Lepisosteus oculatus: one gene and its partners. The protein of the gene in region 2 purifies or fractionates together with the protein of the main gene of each other region. This does not show direct contact. Links are inferred from orthologs where the notes say so. Each region holds a gene or a part of one and is shown on either strand. Other genes may lie near its edges.

Region 1 (7,189 bases), on a different chromosome or scaffold from region 2:
CCTTATTAATAAAACACAGGCATTTTCAGGATGAAGGCCTGCAACAGAAAAGGTTTGGTTTTTTTTTACTTGGCCGATTTGAGAGGTTGAAAAAAGTATAAATGCAGAAATAAGTACACTCAAGCCAACATTAAGCGAATGCTTCATGCACTTATTATAAAGAAACTGTCTAATACATGCCTTGTAAACTTACACTGTTAGAAACTGCAAACAGAAAGACTCAAATTGTTTAGAGTTTGTTATGCTGACTATATAACAGGTAGGCCTAATCATTAATAAAAAGGCTATGTTGTCGGTGTTCACAAAAGCACTCTTTTTCATATTCAACTCATTCCCCCCTTGTGTAAACGATCCCCAGACGTTTTTACCATACATACTGTACTAGAGCATGATGTAAACCACAACATCCTAGCCGTTATGAACAGTTAAGTACTTAGCAGTCAGCAGAAAGAAATATTGTACGAAAGACAAGATTTGATGTCGTGCAGACATCATCATGGATCCTTTCCAGCAACAATCATGGAACATGACAACTTAAAAGTGAGCACACCTCAACCAAAGATGTGAGAGACTCAAGCACATTAATTAAACAGCTGCTGCAACACTTGCTAATGGGCATCAATTTCTAGAACCCACCTTTAATTACTATTAAGAGTTTGAAGGCAACAAATATTGATGATTATGGCGATATCAAAATTTTTCCGTTCAGCAAAACAATCACTTCCAGTTCAGCAGTTTCTAAAGAGACCCCTGGAAGTGCTGGACTGGGAACAGTCACTTCACTTCAAATCCACACAAATCATTACAGAAGGATTTACAATACTAGACACCAATTTTAGGAAAACCAACTATCTGAACTCATAAATTAACGGGCAACACTTTATCAGGGACAGATGACAACCACCCCCACCACCACAAAAAAATCCAAATTGAGAATTTTTTAATCGTTTAAAAAATATGCATCAAAATGTTTTCCAGCATTATAATGGGATTTCCACCTCTTTGCACATGCGGTAGTGTATACAGAAATGGTAATAAACGTGCCTTTAACTTTCACTATGGTTATTTCAAACACAGACTGAAGTTGACACTTTGCATTGCAGTGTTTTTTTCTTCTGACGTGTGGAGTTAAAGTAGAAAGCAAAAAGACTTCAAGAGAGAGCAAGAATAATCCAGTACGTTAAGAGACTGTTATTTAAAGCCGAAAATCTTGTCACAAAAACGATTTCAGGCAGCACTTATAAGAATCGATTTCTGCGGCGGCTGCAAAGGAAGACAATGAGTAATAAACGTAAAAATATGGTGAAGAAGCAAGCGCATCATAGGAATTGTAGCATAAACATATTATTTTAAATTTTACAAGACGTGAAACCTTCAACCAAACCCAAAAGGCGTCGCACTGTTAAGTGTTAAAAACAAGATACCCCACTAATTTAATGTGGGCGAAGCTAATCAAACTATTTTCCAAACAGAAGCCATCGAGAAAGAATTTAAAAAGAAATGTATTTTAAGAAACGTTGATAAAATATCTCAGCCAGCCTCTACAGCTTTATTTAAACTTTTGAGAGGTAAGTGACAACCCCAAGCCTGTGTACAAAAGACGTGCGCAATCGTTTTCACCTAGGGCTTGCAAACATGGGCATTACATATTCGATTATATGTGTTACATATTCGAAGTTACCAAATTACAAAGCCTAAAATTAAATGCACTCGAAAAAAAAAACAGAATTCGCGAGTTATGAACAAAGAAATCCTCACATTCACGCCCTACAAAATGTTTCTGTACCATTTTCCGGTACTGGAAGCTAGTCCTAATCGACACCTGAGGAATCTCGTTGAACTTAATATAGCCCTTTTTACCTCACAAGTAAAGATGACAAGTCATCCAAACTAAAAGACTGAAATCACTTCATGATCATTAGATCAGGATTTTGTGATCTAAATGTTTTAAAATTAAGATACTCCATCTGATCGATTAAATGAACAAACTTGCAAAAACTGATTGCCCTCGCTTATGGACACTAAAGTACCCTAGGGCTCCTTACCAGATACAGAAATACGAAGACAGCTCCAGGGAATCAAAATACGTGAAAAGTTTTTGCCCATCTCTCTCCCCCACACAATTTTTCAGCAACAATTGCCGTTACGTAACACCCATCGTCACATATTCACAAAGCCAAAGCCCCGAGCATGGACTTCGAAAACCAAAAATACCTTGGAAAAAAATAAGAGAACCGGTCTCTGGGCGGATTTCCAAGAAACAAAAAAGCCCCAACTACAGTTACATCTCAAGTGAAGCGAAACAGATCGAAAAAGTATCACATCGAGCATGCAACACAGGCCAGGCCGTCGCTAAAGTACATCAGCTAACATCGCTGCACTAACAATCCATGGACTGCTAGGAGAAAACACACACACACACACTGAAAAAAACTCACCTCGAAAGATTTTAAGTACAGTGTTGCTGATCAACGCTCAGGTTCCACTTTGCTGAAGTGCTGAAGCCGCTGACGAAAATCTTGATCTTGCACGGGCTGTCCGATGCAGCCCAGCGACCCCGCAGCCACTAACTGAGCTACAATGAAACAATAAAACCCAGGATCGTCGCCGATGTTTATCCACAAAACAACCAGATAAGGCTATATCCCTGGCAGGAATCTCAGTTCATATTCGGCAGGCTGTCAGCGGGGTTTTTTTCCGTTTTCAGGCTAGCCAGCGAATTAAAATCCCGGGGAATATTTAGGGTTACTTTAGGTGACAGAAAAATAAACAGGATTTTAAAACATGTTTCCAACCCGCCCTTCTTTATCTCAAGCAAAATACTCTTACTTCCTTTCAAGCAGTATCATGCGAAAGGGGACTAGAGGCTCAAACGATTAATTAAAATAACGTTTGCTTTAAATATTTTTTTTTACAGATCTATAAATTATTTTTTCCAGCGAGTTTTTTCCCCCTTCTCCCCCAGTCGCCCCGACACACTCACAGACGAACGGCCTCGCACTCAACAACCTATCTATCCCCACGGTTAGCTACGCGACAGCTTCCCGAGATTAAACCCGCCTTTTAACCTCCTATTGGGTGGTAGTGTAGATCGAAGAGCGTAGCTCAGAATACATCATGCTCGCGATTGGTTAAAGGAAGTGTCAACCATACATCGTCATGCGCAAGCAGGAACTAATAGTTACGTACACCCCATATATATTTTTATTCGCCGAAACGCTCTGTCAATAGAGCGTCTAGATTACATCCAGAGATTCAATTGGGAATTCTACTGTCAATCAAATGACTTCATAATAGATTTGGCTCAGAGGAGGGGTGGGGATTAGGAGGCTGGTGCGTTAGCTGAATCGTCTCAAAACATTTGTGTTGCTGTACCGCTATTGTGTTCCTCCGCCAAAGCAGATGAAGACAAAGTAGAGCTCTCTTTCAGGATGTGGAAGTTTTAGTAAGAAAGAGGGAGGACACGTGCGCGTGGATTATGCGTTATGGAGAAAGGCTGAAGTCTTGTGTGGTGTCATGGCAGGACTGAAATATTTATTGTTGGTTCTGTGCTGCAGTAGTTACATAATTCATCACATAACCCCGTGCACAATCACTGTCCAAAAACATGTGGCACCTTTTTAGATGGATTTATACATGCAAACTATTGGTAAACAAGGTACTGTTGAAATTGACCTTAGTTTTTCTACGTGTTTTCATTTGCGTTGCTGTGGGTTTAAGAACAGCATGTTGACAAATCTTAAAATTGTCAGATGAATTATGTTTTAAGTATAAAAAACAAAATGTAATACATAATGACAAAAGCGGTTTCATATCGCCATAGTTACATAAAGAACTTTTACTTTTCTATACATTTGATTTTGCATTACACCAGAAACGCTGCAGGTCAGGTTAACTAAGTTGGGCACTTGTATGTTAGGAAATCCAGCTCCTTAGCTTTACGATACCTAATAACAGAATAATTCAAATATTTTCCGCTCATTTTTAATAACCGAACCGATGGTAAAAAAGTCAATCAAGTAATATGTCATCGCTTTCCAAAAATATATATGGTAACCCAAAAATTAACGAGGCTTTACAATGAAGTAAAACGAAGTAATCAAACTTTCGTGCAAATCTAAATATGCTGCAACAGGCTGTGTAGAAAATGTATGAATTCTGCTTTTTACCTTTTTTTCTTGTTCCGAGAGACACTCATAGAAGAGCTGAGACGGAGCACTTTGAGAGACTGTATCTTTCTAGATAGTATCGGGGCCCGAAAGGTATTTCTGTTCCTTTTGTTGTATTCTTCACTCGAAACTGAAAAGCAGCATCTCCTTAGGATCAGCGTGTAGATCCACCTTTATCCAAAGCAGCTTGCAGAGGCCAAAGTTATTGTGTGAACGACTGTCCTGCGAGAAATAATGAATTATTGGTATTAATTCCCCAAGAGCAAAGCAAAGGGACGTTAAAATAAGCTTCTATAAAATCTATCTTCTCTTTTAGCACCTTCCATGCAGTCCTGTGGCTGAGACTAGATGCCCGATTAATGTTTTGATAGCTTTTGTGAAAAAAAAGAAGGAATTTGATAGTGGAACTAACTTTTTTATTTTCAGGCATCGGTACAGCTATGTAATTCTAGCAGGTGGCTGTTGGTGAGTGTAGCTTTTTGCCAACTTGGGAAAGAAACAAGGGAAACAGATTTAAAAAGATTTGAACATTGTAGAGACAGACGGAAACACACTGCGCACTCTAGCTGTGGCTGAATATAGTCTGTGTTGAGTATAAAGTGACAGGAGGTCATATGAGTGTCAGAAATAAAAAAAAACATTTTGCTGTCTTCGGGATGCTGGATTTTTATATTTTATGTTGAATACACTGTTGTCAAAAAGAGACTGTTGTTGGAAAAAGTTTGATACAATGCTATTAAAGTTCTGTATTTTATTTTTCCCTGTGACTCTACCTGCAAAACAGAGAATAACAAAACAGGAATGTAAACGAAAAAAAATCTTGCAAAGCACAAAGGAAGCTCAATTGGTGAGAAAAGAACCAAGAAGAAAAGTGCAGTTGTATAAATTGCACCATTAAGATAATTATTTCTATTTTTATAATGCTTAGAACTGAAAAACAACACTAATAGCACTCCGGAGCACTGTTATGTAAGTGCTGTTCTCAGGGGGACCTTTCGAACCACTTAAGTACTGTAAAAAAGTGTTACTCTAGTCCTTCTTAGTAGATATCCAATTAAACTGAATAGTTTGTAGGAAGACAGCTAATTTGGATAAAAAATAGAAGCCCATTCATGGAAGAAAAATAATGTTCTTAATTTTCTGCAGCCTCAGTATATTTTAATTTAATTTCTTGTTTTCCCTGGCCTTGGGCCCTGGGGATGTTCCTGATACTGGAAGCCCTGTTGTACATCCAACTCCATTTGACACTACTTAAGTACAGAAGCCTCAGCTCTGAACTTGCCTTTAACCCCAGCGATGGATAGGTGTGGCCCTACTGGGTTTCATTCAGCCTGATCTCTAAGCCCATTGAGATAATTGAACACTTTTCCTGGGTCTTCAGAACAGTAGCTGGTTTAAAAGAGGTTCATTTAACATTCTGGAATGTGGCCTTTGAGGGAAGTCAAAGCTTAGGGTGTCTCTGTGGTGACAATGGCACCATGAGCTCAAACTGCTGATGGTACTGCATGCCTTCCAGCTTACAGCCTCAAAATGCACATTTAGATTTGACCACTCAAAAGTTTTTTGATAAGGAAAATTCTAAGTCGGGGTCCACTTTAATTTTACTGGGACAGTGACTTATTATCAGCCTCCTTGTTAAAATGTATAGGGTGAAGAAGGATGTCCCTAATTCTGTATAAGATCAGTTATATATAAACAGTATCCACAATATCAGGCCAAACATTTCAGGATCCTATTGATCAATTCAATCATTACAACAGCTATCCCAGAGACACGTGGTGTTAAACCTGAATGTGACACAGCCAGTGGTGAGTGTTTTTGTTGTTATCCATAGGCACTAATTCCTCCTCAAGGCACGTGTCATCTTGTAAGTATTGATCCATTCATTTCTTAATTAAAACAGTTAATTAAAACATAAGGATATGTGAAACATTTTTTCATATTTTCTATGGCTCTCTAGTTCCGGTTTCCAAATATCCTGTGTGATATGTGTTTTATTCAGTCAGTAGTATACTGTCAGCAGCCGTATCACCCTGTGACTCACAACTGGCAACCCACTGAAGCTGAGCAGGTGTGAACCTGGTTAGTACCTGGATGGGAGACCTCCTGGGAAAAACTAAGATTGCTGCTCGGAAGAGGTGTTAGTGGGGCTAGTAGGGACACTCACCCTGCAGTCTGTGTGGGTCCTAATGCCCCAGTGTAGTGACGGGGACACTATACTGTAAAAAAGGTGCTGTCCTTCAGATGAGAGGTAAAACCAAGGTCTTGACTCTTTGTAGTCATTAAAAATCCCAGGGTGTTTCTTGAAAAGAGTAGGGGTATAACCCCGGTGTCCTGGCCAGAGTTCCCATTCGCCCTTACCAATCCCCATCTATAAATAGGCTTCATTACTCTGCTCTCCTCCCCATTGATAGCTGATGTGTGGGGAGTGTTCTGGCGCACTATGGCTGCCTCCGCATCATCCAGGTGGATTCTGCACATTGGTGGTGGTGGAGGGGAATCCCCATTACCTGTAAAGCGCTTTGAGTGGAATGTCCAGAAAAGCGGTATAGTAAGCAATTATTAGTATTATTATTTTCATCCTTAGTTATATTTCATAGGCTTTGTAGTTGTTAGATATACTTTCGGTATGTCAGGAAAAAGACCTGTAAAGAGTTGCCTGTGACCACTTCTGTAACAAGGACTTTCAAGCATACAGAAGGTATATAGTTGGTAGATCAGAGATGATCAAAAATTAAGTTTTGGGGCTTAGGTGCTTTTTCGTGTTTCGTTGTACCGAGTTGGAAACAGTTGCAAACTGCGTTAATGCCGATGCTGAACACCAGATGGCGCCATTATGCGTCTTTATCTGAAAATTAATTTTGGCCTTATGGTAAACATCTTATTACTGGTTAGCATGTGGAATGTCATCTGCCTTAGAGGCAACATCCATGTGTAATTAAGACTTGTATAAAATCTCAATGGTTAGTTTTTGAGGGGAATAAGAAGAACGGTTGTGGTTTTGCTATTGTTTTAAAGAT
Region 2 (7,026 bases):
AAAAGGCTTACCAAAGTACTGGTATTCATACCCTTTAAACCTATATAAAAACCTATGTATGTCGTACAAAAGTTTTTGTTTTACTATTTTTGCATTTTACCGAGACCACTTACACATTCATCGCATTCTAGTTCTCCTTGTGGGAATACACATTGGTAGTACATTGGTTTTTCGTACATGAATAAAGTATTGCACTGTAATAAAATAGACTTTTATTCAATGTCTGTGATGAAATCTTTGTTCTGCATATGTACTTTAACAGTATTTTACATTAAACAGATTTTACAACGCATTTGTACTTTCATGTTTTCTATTTTTTTCTAGTTATAAGAATAAACCAAGCATGTCGGCTGAACTCACTACAGTTTTACATTATTGCGGGGAAAGTTCCATATTCTTGATTTTGCAAAACTCCCTTTAGCAGTTTGTCTGTTAAATCCAAAATCTATTAAGCGGAGAGTCAATTATGACCATTATAAGTAATCTTCTTTAACAGATATAATTCACCCTCACATCTAGTCAAAGCAAACAACCACTAACAGCCCTTTTACTCCTCTAGATTTTATGAGTGTGGTATAGCTATATCACAACTGGTTAAAAGGGTTATAAGAATATTGATTTAGTGAGCTCACACAAATGTAGAATAAACTGATTGTACCGGAACGCTGGACCAGTCAAGTTGATGTTGAAATTCTGGCAAAGGGATAATAGTGCCAACAGTTCTACCAACACCTGCTGATCATACCCTTGTCTGTGTGTAACTTGTGATATGCAAGATCCGACAAGATCAGTCCAATGTATTTGAAAGTTAAAAAAAAATTCAACAGTGATGATACGTACCTTGCAATAAGAATCTTCTTCCAGGTTTGCGTCCATGTCTGCATCCAGTTTTCTTCCTAAATGAAGAATTATATTCAGTGAACTTCACACACAAGTTTCTTGATTTCTAAAGTTAACAGATTCTCAAATTTAAATATTTTAATGTAGAAAGAAGAAGCCAGATGCGATTTCAACAACCACAACCATTTACCTTTTGACTTCGCATTCTTCCTTGTGGGGGTATCTGCGTTCAGTGGAATTTCGATATTATCGGAATCGCCACCTTCCTCTTCAATAGCCTGAAAAGTAAACATGACAATGATTCAGTATGAATAAATTGCACCCTCTCACAAATACCTGCAGAACACTACCAAATCACAATGCAACCCTTTAAAAAAAGGATTTTCAAGGAACAGGCAAAAGGGGGTCTCCTTATTGCAAATGCCGGGCAACAAAGTTTATTTATTTTAACCCCTTTGACCTCCGTGATAACGAGTAACAACTGCAGGACACCACCTCAAAACAGCCAAGGCACCAGCATACACAGAGGATACTGAGAAGAGATTAAGCCAAGCTGGCAGCAACAACTCACACCAATAAGACCAGTCTTTCCCTAAAAACCAAACCTCATAATAAATCTGCAGTTTCAAATACGCAAATCAAAATAATGTCTCCATTGTTGAACAACACAAGACACTTGATTTCTGTAACATCAAGTAACTGCATGCTGTACCTTCGCCAGTCCTTTAGGAATGACACCCCCATTTTCTTCTTTTACCACAATCTGGGACAGGGACGACATTCACTGCTGCGTCATACATACCAACACAGAACACCTAAAGGTGAATATCTGGCTTTAAATAACGCATCTGCAGTTATGTAGGACTATGGACGCCGAGAGTCCTGGGATCCTTATTGCAAAACCCGGGTTCGACTTCCCTAAGCGTGCTTGACTCAAATCGCTCCAGAATAGCTGTATACCCTCCACACCGTCATTATAAAGGACCTCGCCATTTCTTTACCTGGTTGATCAGGAAAAAAAACACTACCGAGTGTAAACGAAGCTATGTAGAAGTCGACCGTATAACAAAAAGGGACGTTCATTAAAACGAACTTGTACCTCGGCTCAATTTGCACCCCAGCATCCAATCAAACCTGGCTAGATGAGATAACCGGGCGTTTGTCTTCTTACTTAGGTTTTTCCAAAATTTAAGAAAGCCACACATTATCCGAAGGAAAAGGGGAATGTTTTTGTCAATATTATTGATCTCACTTGAAAACGACTATTAATTCATTCGCGCCTACCACTTACAGGTCTATTCTATAGTAATAAAACAGCCAATTTTTGCGCATATGAAGAATACACAAAGCTTTCTTATTGTCGTTCAATAGAGTATGACCGTATCGTTTTTATTATTTGCAAAACTCCACCGTGTTTCTATATCTACAGAAATTGGAAAGCGAAAGTGACAAACATCCACACACTTGATATCCAGCAACTAAGTATGCATGGTGGGAGGGGAAAACAAGGCCTTCTCTGCAGAAAAAAACACAACAAGATTTTAAGGCCGCTGATAATACAGGCTTACCTGCTTCAGCCTTGCAATTAAGACGTTCTTTACTCCCGTGATGTCCAAATTCCTCCGCTTTAACTCGGTTTTAAGGTCTATGACCCGTAATTCTGTGATTTTCTTAATCTCAGTGGCCACGGCTGCCGACGCCATTTTGCCAAACTGAATGAGAAAGGAAGGTGTTTATGGTTATGGAAACACCGCCAGTTCCCGGATGTTGACGACGCGTACAACGTGATGACGTAAGTATTTTTTTTCTGTAGGATTTGGTTAGAATTTCAGAAATGAATTTTGTCAACGTATTATTCCACTTTTGACCTCTGAAATCCGTGTTCACACAGTATATTAGAGAAAAGAAGGAAGAAAATAAATTAGGCAGTTTTGCGATTTATAATTAATAAAATGTATAGGTATGTTATGCTAGAAAATAGACCAACCTCATTCTTCGGATTATATAGACGTTTACTTTTAAAATAATTAAACATTATTAAATCGGATCTTAGAAAATCGTGAGACAAAAAAGTTTAAAAATAATAAGATTATTTAGAACGACTAAAATATGTGTAATGTTTTTTTTTAATAACAAAGCATCCAAATTGGAATAAGGTATTTCTAACATTTTGATAATTTGGTTACTACGTACTGAGGATATTCTAGCTTTTCTGGAGCACCCCTGTAAATCAGGTCCTATACTGTGACAGCGTGCACATCCCCAGCTCTTTGTCTAAAGATCTGTCACCTGTTTTCACGTCGAAATTCACTTATTCATACTGTACACTTGTGGTCTCCCCAATGCTTTTAATATTAAATATTAAAGAACATGCCTAACCAGAGCTGAATTAACTTGCTTGCAACATTAAATAAAGATAATCGGATGTGTCGCTTCTGTATCTCTATCATAAAGCAGTGTATGAATTCTTCGCATTCACAATTATATAATGTACAGTGGACAATTATTTTGGATATTTTAGTCAAAGATTTTAAAATCTGTGAAGACAATTTCCATTACAGTTTGCTTTTAAAGCCTTTGTCCGTCGACATTAGCATATTTCTGTACCAACATGTGTGGGCTTTTGGAATTGCGAAAACAAGTGGAAATTCTTATTACAGAGATATCGAAATGAAAGAGGCTTATGAAAGAAAGGTCACCTTTTGGTATATCGTGCTTTTTGGGTTATCAGCTTACACATACAAGATGTCCTAGTCCTAGTGGTCCAGCTTCGACAACGTGATTAGACAGATTTTCCAAATGTGAACTGTCTTTTTACAAAATCTATTCAAAAATGTGATTGTTGCTTTACAAAAATGTCACCAAATAAAATTATATATGTAAATTATATAATTAAGAAAATGTAGTTATTTCGGACGTAAATTTAATCTACCTACAAAAAATATTCAAGAAGTCCATATTCAGTATATAATACCAGCTTTCTATTTACATACAATCGTGTCGCTTATCTTACATTTGCATAGGTTCTAGTACAAAACACTTGCCACAAACGACCACTAGTGGGCACAGCGCCTCATGTTTCGAAGACCCCTTGCCCAGGAAAGGGCATGCCGTAAACAGCCTCTACAGTGTCGAAAAGTGTCGTGAAGCGTCCCTCGCTGAAGCGAGGCTCCGGGGGATTGTGCAGAAAACAGATCAGGCAAGCGCAGCTACGAAGAGGAGCTCGCCTGAATAAACAACAGCCCAAGCGAGGCAGGAATGACTGCTTTATCGAGGGCCCAAATGGCAAAAGGAAAGGTTTTCCGCCTTTCTCGAAACCTTAAATGAATCCCGGCCTCAGTTGATAGCCGGGGACTGGGCGGTTGAAGGAGAAAAAAGGCGAATTTAACTAGATCTCCCCCAGTTACAGTATCGGGGCCTTTGGGGCTGTTGTTGGGTTTGTGTTATCACTTTCACAACCAGGCGCTGCTGACGTCCGAGGGTTTCTCTACGCTATTTTATTTTCAGTGGGCTGCCCTCATTTTCAGGTCCTCGCTGAAGGTTTTCGTCAGAAACGGAATCCGTTGGAGAGCAGTGTCGAGTTTGGGGCCTGTTGGCGTGAAAGGTACGTTTTTATTTCTCCTTAACGTTCAGTAGTGGCAGTACTTGATCAGTACGACGAGCTATTTCGGATCAGAGTGCTAATTCAAATGGCTTCTGACTTCGCCTGGGGAAATGGAGAAGGGGGTGGGTGGGTATACGACTATTGAATAAACCGGATTCAGAATTAAACTCGTCTGAAAAGGAGAACCAGCGAGTTGAATTCCTGACTTGTGCCCTTTTATCGCCTTTTTTTGTGTGATAGTTTTAATTTAGAGTATTTTCATACGCAGTGCCCCTGCCCCCCTCCTTTTTCGGTTCGGGCTATTGACAGTGACAGATGGGAAATCTTGGGTAAGGCAGAACGTAGGTTTTTGTTGTGATGTGCTCGATGTTGCGTTGATAAATTGTTCACTTAGGCATGGTCGTTGAGCTTTAGACAATCATTTGGATGTTAAATGCTAATATACAATTGATTGCATTAATCCAAGCGAAATGTTTGTACACGGAGTTAGCTGGTCCGAGCTCGCTCTGGACATGTCCTGCCCCTTGCAACCCAGTTATTGTTCCTTTCTCCTTTAAGAGAGTAATACAGACAGTTAAAAATCCAGCGAGAAAAATGTCCCCACTTCTATAAGACAGTTTCGAATGTCATCTATAGTCTTGGCATTGTAAACTGCTCGGTGTGGAAAGCGTAGACACTAGCGTGTCCCATCGTGATATTTTAAAGAAATCGCCCTGCTCAATCTTCCCTTTTCGTTTCCACTTCTTCGTTCTAAAGCTAGTATTGAATTGTCTTTCCTTCAGCTTCGGCTATTGATCCTAAGTAATAGTCATATAACAATGGAAGAAAGCGCATGATCAAATACCGAAGTTTTAAAGAGGTGCAGAGCACGTTAACCTTCATTTTATCTCGTACAGTTCACGCCGAGATGTACTTGGTGCAGATCTGAAGCTTTTTATATTCGGCGCAATGTTTGTTTGTTTTTTTTAATGTGATTTGTGAAGAAAGTACCAAGTGAATCTTAGAACCGCCTGCATATCCACTGGGTGTGTGACTCTGAAGCCATTTCCTCTAAAAGAAATCGAGTAATACATTTTTTGTTCCGTTTCTCAACGTGAACATCTATGTTCTATCCCGTAGGAGAACTAAGTATAAAGTATACACCCATAAGGTACAAACAGACAGCGGCTGGCGGTGACTGGCTGCTCTGGGGAGCAGTGTGTGCAAGCTGGGACACACAGATACCCCAGGGCTTTCATTTTAACCACTTAGAAGCAAAGGTTTACGGCCAAAACTTGAAAAGTTTGTTTTCTCTTGTGTAACCTTTGCCTGTTAAGACCCCACTTTTCACATATTTGAAAAATTGCCCGGGAACCATACCTAGCAGAACAAATGTTGAGAATATATTCAGAGTATATAGGCCCTTACTTACATTTTGATCTTCCAGACTTAGTTTTAGTTTAATTATGATACAGATAGCTCTTTTATAAGTGAGCAATGACACAGTTGTTACGTTTTCTGTCATAGAGCAACCTTTTTCCAAATAATGTCTTCAGGGGCCCTGGATTCTTGCTTGTGTCATATGTGTGATGCTTTATTTTCTATTTTTAAACAGTTCAGTATTTTAATGTGGTCACTGGTATACCTATAGCTGTATCCAAGATTAGCACCTCTAGTTTATCTTGATGTATGTCAACAGTGCCTCTTCTATTTTAGAAACTTTAAATGTGGTTAGATAACACTCCTAGCAAAACAGGCTAAAGATGTCATCATGCATCACTATATTTAGCAAGGTGGAAAACGCAGAGAAAGAGAAAGTAGAGGGTGTATTATAATTTGTATCGTAACAGGTTCTGCATGTTCTTGCTTTGTGGCACCATTCACACTGGACGCTAACATTGGTGTTCACCAGAACCAGTGCCAGTTTCTCTCTTTGTACTGCTGTCTGGTGAAGGTGAAAAACATTACTAACACAAGGATTGCACTCTACCTGTTTACACACACTGCCAAAGCACCCTTCATAGCCTGTATGGAACCATAGGTGGTTTGTATCAAATATTTGTGCACTTGTCACAATAGGAGTTGGTGTTTGTTCTTGGTGTCACCTCCGTTGCAAAGCTTGGTCCAGCTAGAAGACACCATAAGGCAGGTCTGTGTACCTTGTGGTTTGAGGATCCCAGCTGTGTTAGAATTGAATTAATGGAAGAATGTAAAGAATATGAAATCAACAGCTTTGTAATTGGGGAAACTGGTGTTTATCTTATACAATGTCCATTTATCGATACTGTAAGCCGGATTTCATTAGTCAATTATGAATACACTAAATGGCATCATTAAGAGGAAGCCTATTTAGGATGAAGATCACCATTTGTTTATTATCTTGACCCTGAATTTCAGCATAAGTGAGTTAAGGCATGTGCTGAGTTTCTGTCCTCATCAGTACTTGGTTTTTCATTCTGGATCATTCTGGCAAGTCTCTTTACCACGCACATGTGAGCTCGCTGCAGTTGTGACTTGCGATATTTCTGCACACACAAAAAGTTCTTAGTCTTGCCAGGATCCCGAGTCTGAAAATGAATGGAGTGGTCTTGGCTCTTGCATTG
Region 3 (7,636 bases), on a different chromosome or scaffold from region 2:
TCAGCTGGCACTCGGCGCACTGGATGCACGGCGCGTCGGGCTGAGTGTAGAACCGCGGCACAAACAGGCCCCGGCACTTCCCCAGGCACTCGTGCTCCACCGCGAAGCTGCCCTCGCCCTCCTCCGGCAGGGCCTTGCCCCCCAGCTTGCAGGAGCCCTGCAGGGGCGCGCCGGGGCGCAACAGGGCGTTGCACAGTCTCTGGGCGTCCGTCAGCGTGATCAGGCCGCAGGAGGGCGCGTTGAAAGGCAGGATGCCCAGCACCTTCAGGATGTGCAGCTGGTCGGCGTTGCAGCGGGAGCAGTAGATGTACAGCTCGTCGCAGACCAGGTTGATCTGCTGGAGGGAGAAGTCCCGCAGGACGGAATTGAGCACCTGCGGGAGACACAGCCTCTTCTCGCCGCCCACCACGAAGCAAGAGATGGACTCGCCCTCCAGCAGAGAGTGAGTGAGCTCGGTGGAACTGTCACAGGGGATCAGGAGCGGGCCAGGCAACGCTGGCGGAGAAGGAAGGGGGACAAAGACACTGGGCGACTCCTGGGGGTTGCGTGCAGAAAACGCAGCTGGCCCACCCAGGGAGCTCTGGCTGCTGAGGTGGAACTGGGCCAGCGTGTGCTTGAGGCCCGGACTGAGGTCCAGGGCCTTTGATGGTGGAACGGGCAGCTGCCTGCCCTGTCTCTCCCTCTCGCAGACAGCTGCTTCCCCGGGGTCCTCCGTGTGTTCCTGCTTGACTTTTGGCATTCTGGGGACTCCTTCCAGAGTCCGGCGTTTCAGATGTATTTCTGCCACCACCCTCTTTTTAATAGGGGCGTCTTCCAGTCTCTCTCTGCACAGCCGCTTCATGCTTCCTTTGAGTAAGGCCACGTCTTTTAAAGTGTGTTTCAAAGTGGTCGGCGTGCCAGCCATGCCTTTCCTTTGAGTTTTTGTTGTTATTGTTGGCGTGTGTCTTTATTTTTTGTTCCTGAAAGGATGTGCTCCTTAACATTCACGGCAATCGTAGATTATCATCTTTCCTTTTACATACATGTTTGTGATGGACTGCACACTTGTATACTAATCCTAAAAAAAACAACCAAGAAGAACAGTCATCTTAATCCTTTTAGGCATAATACAAAATGTTACACCAGACATTCTTTTCAGCCTGTGTCTTACATGTTGGTATAAATCTTATTTCAAGCTCTTCTCCATATTAAAAGAACAACCAGGTATATTTGCACTTATTAGGAAAAATGCAGTCTTTTACAGACTGGTGCGTACAGAACCACAGTTTCTAATGAGACGTGACAGGGTCCAATATGTATGGAATTACAAAACATACAATAATAAAATAAGTTTCTTAAATTAGACAGTGGCGTTTAAATGCTCAAAGTAACAGAAGGGGGAGTGTTATACAGATCATATGATACAGGTAAAGAAAAAATAAATAGATACAAATTATGACCCAACTAAAAATTCTCTCAAAGGTAAAGGATGAAGATGTCTAACTTACACAAGCCTTGAATTCCAGTATCGTCTCAGTTCCGCTTAGATCCAGTCAGGTTCAACTGAAGCACCGCCGACAGCATTGACCTTCTCCGATATGCACCAGATGGTTCGGATGTAGAGCAAAGTATAAAGCTGCAATCGAGGTAAAAAAAAACAAACATGTATCCACTGTAGCGCAATAACAACGACAGTCCGTGCGGCAGAGTGAATCCCCAATTCAGTCGACCAGAAGCAGGCTACCCCTCGAGTCCCGGCCGATGTTTCAGCGTGAGCTAGTCGCGGTGATGCCGCGTCCACAAGGGCTGGCTGATGACTAAACGGCACAGTACGCTGGTTCACCCGATATCTTAACGGTTCGTCCCAAATTCGCCCAAACGCCGCTTTCTCCTCCTAGCGGATAGTCACCGCTCCGCCCGGTCCCCCTGTCCGCTCTGCAGTGTGCTCGGACACCGATGGTTTTCAAGCGCAGCGCTCAGCGTTGTTGTGGCGGCTGCTGTATCTTGACATTTCGTTACTCTGCTCCGGGTGCACCCCCCCCCCCCCCTCCCTCCTTTCCTAGCAAGGACAGCGTACACACGACTCTCACTCACTCGCTTTTCTCCCCACCTACCTCTCTTTCCTTTATTTCCTCCACTATGTTGTGCCACCGGCTCGCCTGTGTAGTGTTCATGACATTCACTGTATCGTACACCTTTCACGGGACTCTCTTCCTGCCTCTCACCCCCACCCCCCACACACACGCTACCGCACAGCCAAACCCTTGGTGCCCCCGTCCTAAACCGAGTATATCCCCGAACAGAGGAAGGGCAATCCTTGAATAATCAGAATTGCACTCGTCGACCAGAAAACGCGTTTTAGAAATAATACTTAGCTAACAGATACCCCGATACAGAGGGGAAATACCTTACTGTGCTTCAGTTGCTACTTTTATTTCGTGTTTTTTTAAACGCAATATTTTTTTTTTTTTGGTGTGTGTGTGTGGCTAAGAACAGCAACCCAAAACAAATTAACAGCGTCAGCGAAGCGACCTCCCTTGATAGCATGCGTGCAATAAAACTGTATCGCCCCAGTGCAAACTGGTCAATTCACTCGCTAGCTACACACCTTCAGCTCCCATACCTTGCCATCAGTACAGTACAGCATGCTGTTTACAGGGTAAACGTGCGATTTTCTTTTCGTGGAGGGGAGTGGTACAGAGGCCCGGTGACAGTGACTAATTACCGTGTGTAAATCCTGGTCGCCCGCGTGTAACCTTCTTTTTTGTGTGTGAAAAAAATCCACCTCTCTCGCCTCTCCTCCCTCCTCTTCTCCGTGTCCCCTCGCTCCGTGCCCGACCGTCAACAAAATGCAAGCAGCCAGACACATCACTACACACAGACTCACCACGTCACTCCACAACCCAACAGGCTACGTCACCCGGCTGCTCGGAGCACACGGGCTTGTCACGGAAAAACGAGACGTGGGTGTCTGTCTCGCAGTCTGGGCTTGTGTTTGTTTCTGCAGTCGGGCACACGGCCCAGCCTGCGATGTCACCACCAGCCGCCTGTAACTCCGTTGACGCCTGAGGCGATGGTGCCGTTTCGGTTGCTACGACAAACGCGTTACTTGAAACGGAAAGAAGAAAATGTTCTCGACAGAAAAGTCTCAGGAAACGCTAACTCCCCTTCTCACACAGACAAATCTCCATTGAAGTCCCGTTTCTTTGATTTTTTTCTTTCTTTTTCGTATTTTATTTCCTTTGTCTCAATTATATGAATATCTGCATTTAATTGTCTTTCAACCCGTACCGATTGTCTCAGTGTAAACTGTTTAATGATGAACTATATATATATATCTTTATGCATAATTTGACTGTAATCGTCCTTCCATACACGGTCAGTTTACCATTGTAGAGCAGGGCGATTAAAATCACTGTAGAAATACGTATTAAATTATTGTCAAGGAGACATTTAAATCTCAAGGTTTATAATGTATATTACGTGATAGTACTATTGTAATAATCAACAATTTCAGTTTATCGGCATATTGATCTAAAATTGTAAACGACAAAAGAGTTCTGTTTTTCTGACATGAAAAAAAATTCTCGGAACAAAACTAAAAGCCTTACTTAAGGCTTACTTAAATCTAAATCTGGTCAAATGTGTGTTTAACTGCAGCCTACTCTGTTCCCACGGAAACTCCAGACACGGAACAGTTCACTGTGGTGACAGATATGTAGTATTCGTGTAACTTTCTGCTTTAGATGTCAAGAGATTGCCTGTTTCCAGGAAATAAAACGGTAAAAAACACTACTCCTCTTGCCATTTCAGGCAAAATATAACGCTTCCAGCTAAAGAGCCGGACACAGCGCATTACATTACGAGAGATGTCTGAAGTGTCTGAAGAATAAAACATGTACAACATATTTCATTACATCAGGTGATAGTTTTATTTTCACTGCTTCTGATGACATCCTTCTTAGAACGGACTTAATACACACTAAGTTACTTTCAATATACATACATATTTACGATATGAACTCCTAGCAGGAAGCATTAGTGCATATTTGCAACGATTTATTATTCATGGACTGTGTCAGATCTCATCTGGTGCCTAGACAATTAAGGGATATTACATTTCCCTCTGTCAAGGTCAGTGCTCAGTGAATTGAGTGTTGTTAGAATATTAACATTATATTATTTACTTTGGCAGATGAAATGGCAAGGCGTTTTTGGTGTGTGCATCGGTGAAGAGTTTAACCGAGAAAAGACCAAAACCAGAGGTTCGTGAATGTTAATGTGAATTTACATATTCCTAGTAATTAGAAAAAAAATAAACAAAAAAGTCAATTCAACGCTGATAATACACCCGTGTCTCATCCACACAATTCTTTTTCAGAATGTGAGCAGGGTCAAATCTAAGGGTGTACTGTATCCACCAACCAGATGTAAAAAATAAATTCCCAGTAGGTGATGGCAATTTTTTGCTTGAGAAAGCTTCTTGTCTTCACCGATGAAAAAACGCAAATGTATAATTTTAATTTATGTCCGACTTCTGTTCTCACGGAACCTTGATACAAATAAGGCTTTGACTGTTCAAGAAAAGGCAGGCAGAAACAACGTTTGAAAGGAAAATGGGAAACTGTGAAGAAGTGTTCAGAACACATAGATATGTAAAAATGTCTAATGAAACATACGTGTTGTGCATTAGCTAAACATAAAAAAAACAGTTGTGTTTGAGAGCTTACTTCATCTCCACTATAAAATCAAAGTTTATTGACAGGATAAAACCCCTTGAGTTGCACCATGTCCTTTTCAAGGGGGCCCTGTTAGAATATACACTGTACATAAAATAGTGGGAGCAACAGTATTATGGACTCGTTACAATTCAGAGATACTGGAAAATGTCTGTTTTACTCACCAGAAATCAACACAGATCTTTTTTTTATTCGAATGAATTGTCTTTTCGAATAGCTAGTACTTACCGTAATTGATCAAGCACGGTTGCAGAATAAATCATTCCACAAGGTTCACGACTGGGTATACAGCGTAATACTTTTGTGGTGCGAAAATAAAATAATTGTTTATGAAATATTAGATTTTTGCCTCAAAGGCCTGGGAACATGCGCACAAAAATTTGTCGCTGTTGTCTGACAAATATTTTATCGTCTGCAAGCGACGATATTGTTTACCATTAACTATTCCTAAGAAAAATGATTCATAATACTTAGCTATTCGCTTCTATGTGACCCTGGCCTCTCCTCTATACAGATCTAGATTTTCAAATTACTCAGTCTGAAAAACTTTAAATCTTTGTGACTCACAACCTTGCTATGGGCAGTGTTACTATGTGCTGTGTGAAGGACAAAATTAAGGAATGTTGAGTTTGCTTCCAGCAATAGTGATTCACGGTTTGGTGGCTTGGGCAGGAGTTTTAAATATAAAACTGACTTAAACAGCATGAATGTTCTGGTTTAAATATTTAAAAACCGTGTCATACAGCGATTTACTTATCAAGACCAACTTACGGGTATGCGACTCCAAAATTCTGTCAAGTGTAAAAACCGCGTCATGGATTTCGTTATACTCAACGGATTTTGGGAATCCCCGTTTTAAATCCTGGCGCCGAAGAACTTCCTGTCTTCTATTTAAAAGGAAATTGTTAATGACAATGTACTATCCCGAAACGTTTGTGTTAAAGGGAAGAAAAAAAATACAAGCAGTTTTCTTTATCAAAATAAATCTTAGTTCAGGCTGGTCACTGCAAATTATTAGTCGGTGATTTTAATTTTATTGCCATTGGCTCCTCCGAGACTCTAATTGCACCCTCAAAAAGTGACTTTTATCAAGTGTCGTATATACATGTTATGGGATAGCAAACATAAATTGTGTATATTTGAAAAGATGGTAATGAAAATTGGTAATGGCAAAGTGGGTTTAAAATAACAAAAACTGGCCTTTTATTTTATTTTTAAATATTTTGTATTCAAATCGTGTTTCTTTCTTACAAGAACAGTTTTCAAGGTAGTAACCTACTGTACTGTCACTTGAAGATGAAGTAGTACGTGTCCATGTAGGAACGTTACAAATAAATTATGAATAATACTGTTGCCAAATCGAGCTTTTATGCAATATAAATGGAAGCAAATAATGGTAACATTTTTAAAAATGACAAAGCTTTAACCACGGATTGAGAATACATAATAAAAAATGTTGGAAACCTTACTGAACTGTAATTAATATGCATAGTAAATCAATGTTTTACCCCATCCATACTCCTTGGCATGCAATGGATTTTCACCAGGAAGACGCGAGTTTGTTTGAATGCTTAATTAATCCTCTAAGGGTACCACCTCCAGATAGACTTCTGCAATTAAAGAGTGAGTGTGTTCAGATCTTCTGCCCTTCAGATCATTAACACAGACCCTCAAGGTTATACAGGTTTTGTGGCTGGTGATTGTTTTGTGAGGAGTCAGAGACATTTGCTAGATGGGTCACAGGAAAGGTCGGTTTTCCATCTGCCCCTCATCACCCAAATGTTCAATGTCTGAATTATACTTTATCCAACCTGTGTTAACTGCTGTGGCTCATTAAAGAGCTCTGCCCATCCAGCCTCTGAGCACCTTTGTCATGAGACTGCTGATAAACATGAAGTGCAGAATTGTGGAAGTAAGGATATTTGTTAATTTGTTATCTGGGGGTAATCTGACATTTTACCTGTGCCGTTCTGGCTCTGCGGCTGGAATGGCCTATGTTACAGGTCCTGAGAATCCATCACCATCTAACTTCATATCTACCGCTACTTTGAATAACAGTAGAAACCCCCAATTTGTCAATTATCTGCCACAGCTCTCCAGGGTATGAGATAGCTCCCTTGAAGTTCTACATTCAGAACTGCCTTTTTTTAAATACAGAATATTGTAGTGGTTCAATTTTGTTCTTAACATAGTGATGTACAGTATATCACACTTATTTCACAAGAACATTGCTATTAGAAATGCAAAGGTATAATGAAAAAGGGCACTGGAAATCACTGTGAGATATACTCATGGGGAAAAAATCAGAACTTGTTATCATGCAGGGAAGGTGACTTGAAAAGTATTTTGTTTCCTCACCTTAATGATTTAGAATTCAGGGCATGTCAATGAGAATGAAAGAGGTATAGTGGTAAAAGATAAAGCCTTGGTACTTAGTCTTATACAGCAGCAACATAAATGTGCAAACTAGACTTTCTTCATTCTTTAACACTATTTTGAATAGATCAAACAGCAAAGATGCCTCCTGCGTTGAATACTTACAATTCACCCCTTAACAAGTGTTTTCAATTTAAAATGGCACAGAGGCCAAAAAAACAAAACAAACTTGATGCTTTTAAGGAAGCAAAAAAAATGTATTTGGCATTGATGATATTGTACAGCACCATTTCCACAGCCTAATTTACAGACATACAAAAACATATTGATGCATTAATTTATTACTCAGATCATCATAAGCCATGGCCATTGCGGTTTTGGTTTCTACGGAGATGCCCACTTTCCCCATTACCTGTCTTTCTACCAGTTTCCTGGAGGACATACAAATATCTGTTATTCATTTTCACTTTGATAAAAAAAAACAGATACATTGCTTTTGTATAATGTACTTTTTCATTTAATTAATATTGTTTAATTACAGC

Evidence for each region. The genes of interacting proteins can lie anywhere in the genome.
Region 1: the proteins of rnf111 (region 2) and smad2 purify together in Homo sapiens (affinity purification with western blotting, with the first as the bait; 3 studies listed by BioGRID). This does not show direct contact. The link is inferred for Lepisosteus oculatus from reciprocal best matches to the Homo sapiens genes RNF111 and SMAD2.
Region 3: the proteins of rnf111 (region 2) and skila purify together in Homo sapiens (affinity purification with western blotting; 3 studies listed by BioGRID). This does not show direct contact. The link is inferred for Lepisosteus oculatus from reciprocal best matches to the Homo sapiens genes RNF111 and SKIL.

What each region holds. Positions count from the first base shown.
Region 1 is NC_090698.1:17,846,509-17,853,697, forward strand, and holds the start of smad2 (mothers against decapentaplegic homolog 2), read right to left. Parts: upstream 3,003-7,189; 5' UTR 2,984-3,002; intron 2,978-2,983; exon of another isoform or gene 2,576-2,977; 5' UTR 2,439-2,575; intron 1-2,438. UniProt on the Homo sapiens protein: Receptor-regulated SMAD (R-SMAD) that is an intracellular signal transducer and transcriptional modulator activated by TGF-beta (transforming growth factor) and activin type 1 receptor kinases.
Region 2 is NC_090700.1:46,404,594-46,411,619, forward strand, and holds the start of rnf111 (E3 ubiquitin-protein ligase Arkadia), read left to right. Parts: upstream 1-4,014; 5' UTR 4,015-4,444; intron 4,445-7,026. Other genes in the region: sltm (SAFB-like transcription modulator), read right to left, coding at 841-896, 1,031-1,118, 2,409-2,543. UniProt on the Homo sapiens protein: E3 ubiquitin-protein ligase. Required for mesoderm patterning during embryonic development. Acts as an enhancer of the transcriptional responses of the SMAD2/SMAD3 effectors, which are activated downstream of BMP.
Region 3 is NC_090708.1:13,841,523-13,849,158, forward strand, and holds the start of skila (ski-like protein), read right to left. Parts: upstream 3,003-7,636; 5' UTR 2,705-3,002; intron 2,695-2,704; exon of another isoform or gene 2,588-2,694; intron 2,549-2,587; exon of another isoform or gene 2,094-2,548; intron 1,616-2,093; 5' UTR 1,488-1,615; intron 1,058-1,487; 5' UTR 905-1,057; coding exon 1-904. UniProt on the Homo sapiens protein: May have regulatory role in cell division or differentiation in response to extracellular signals.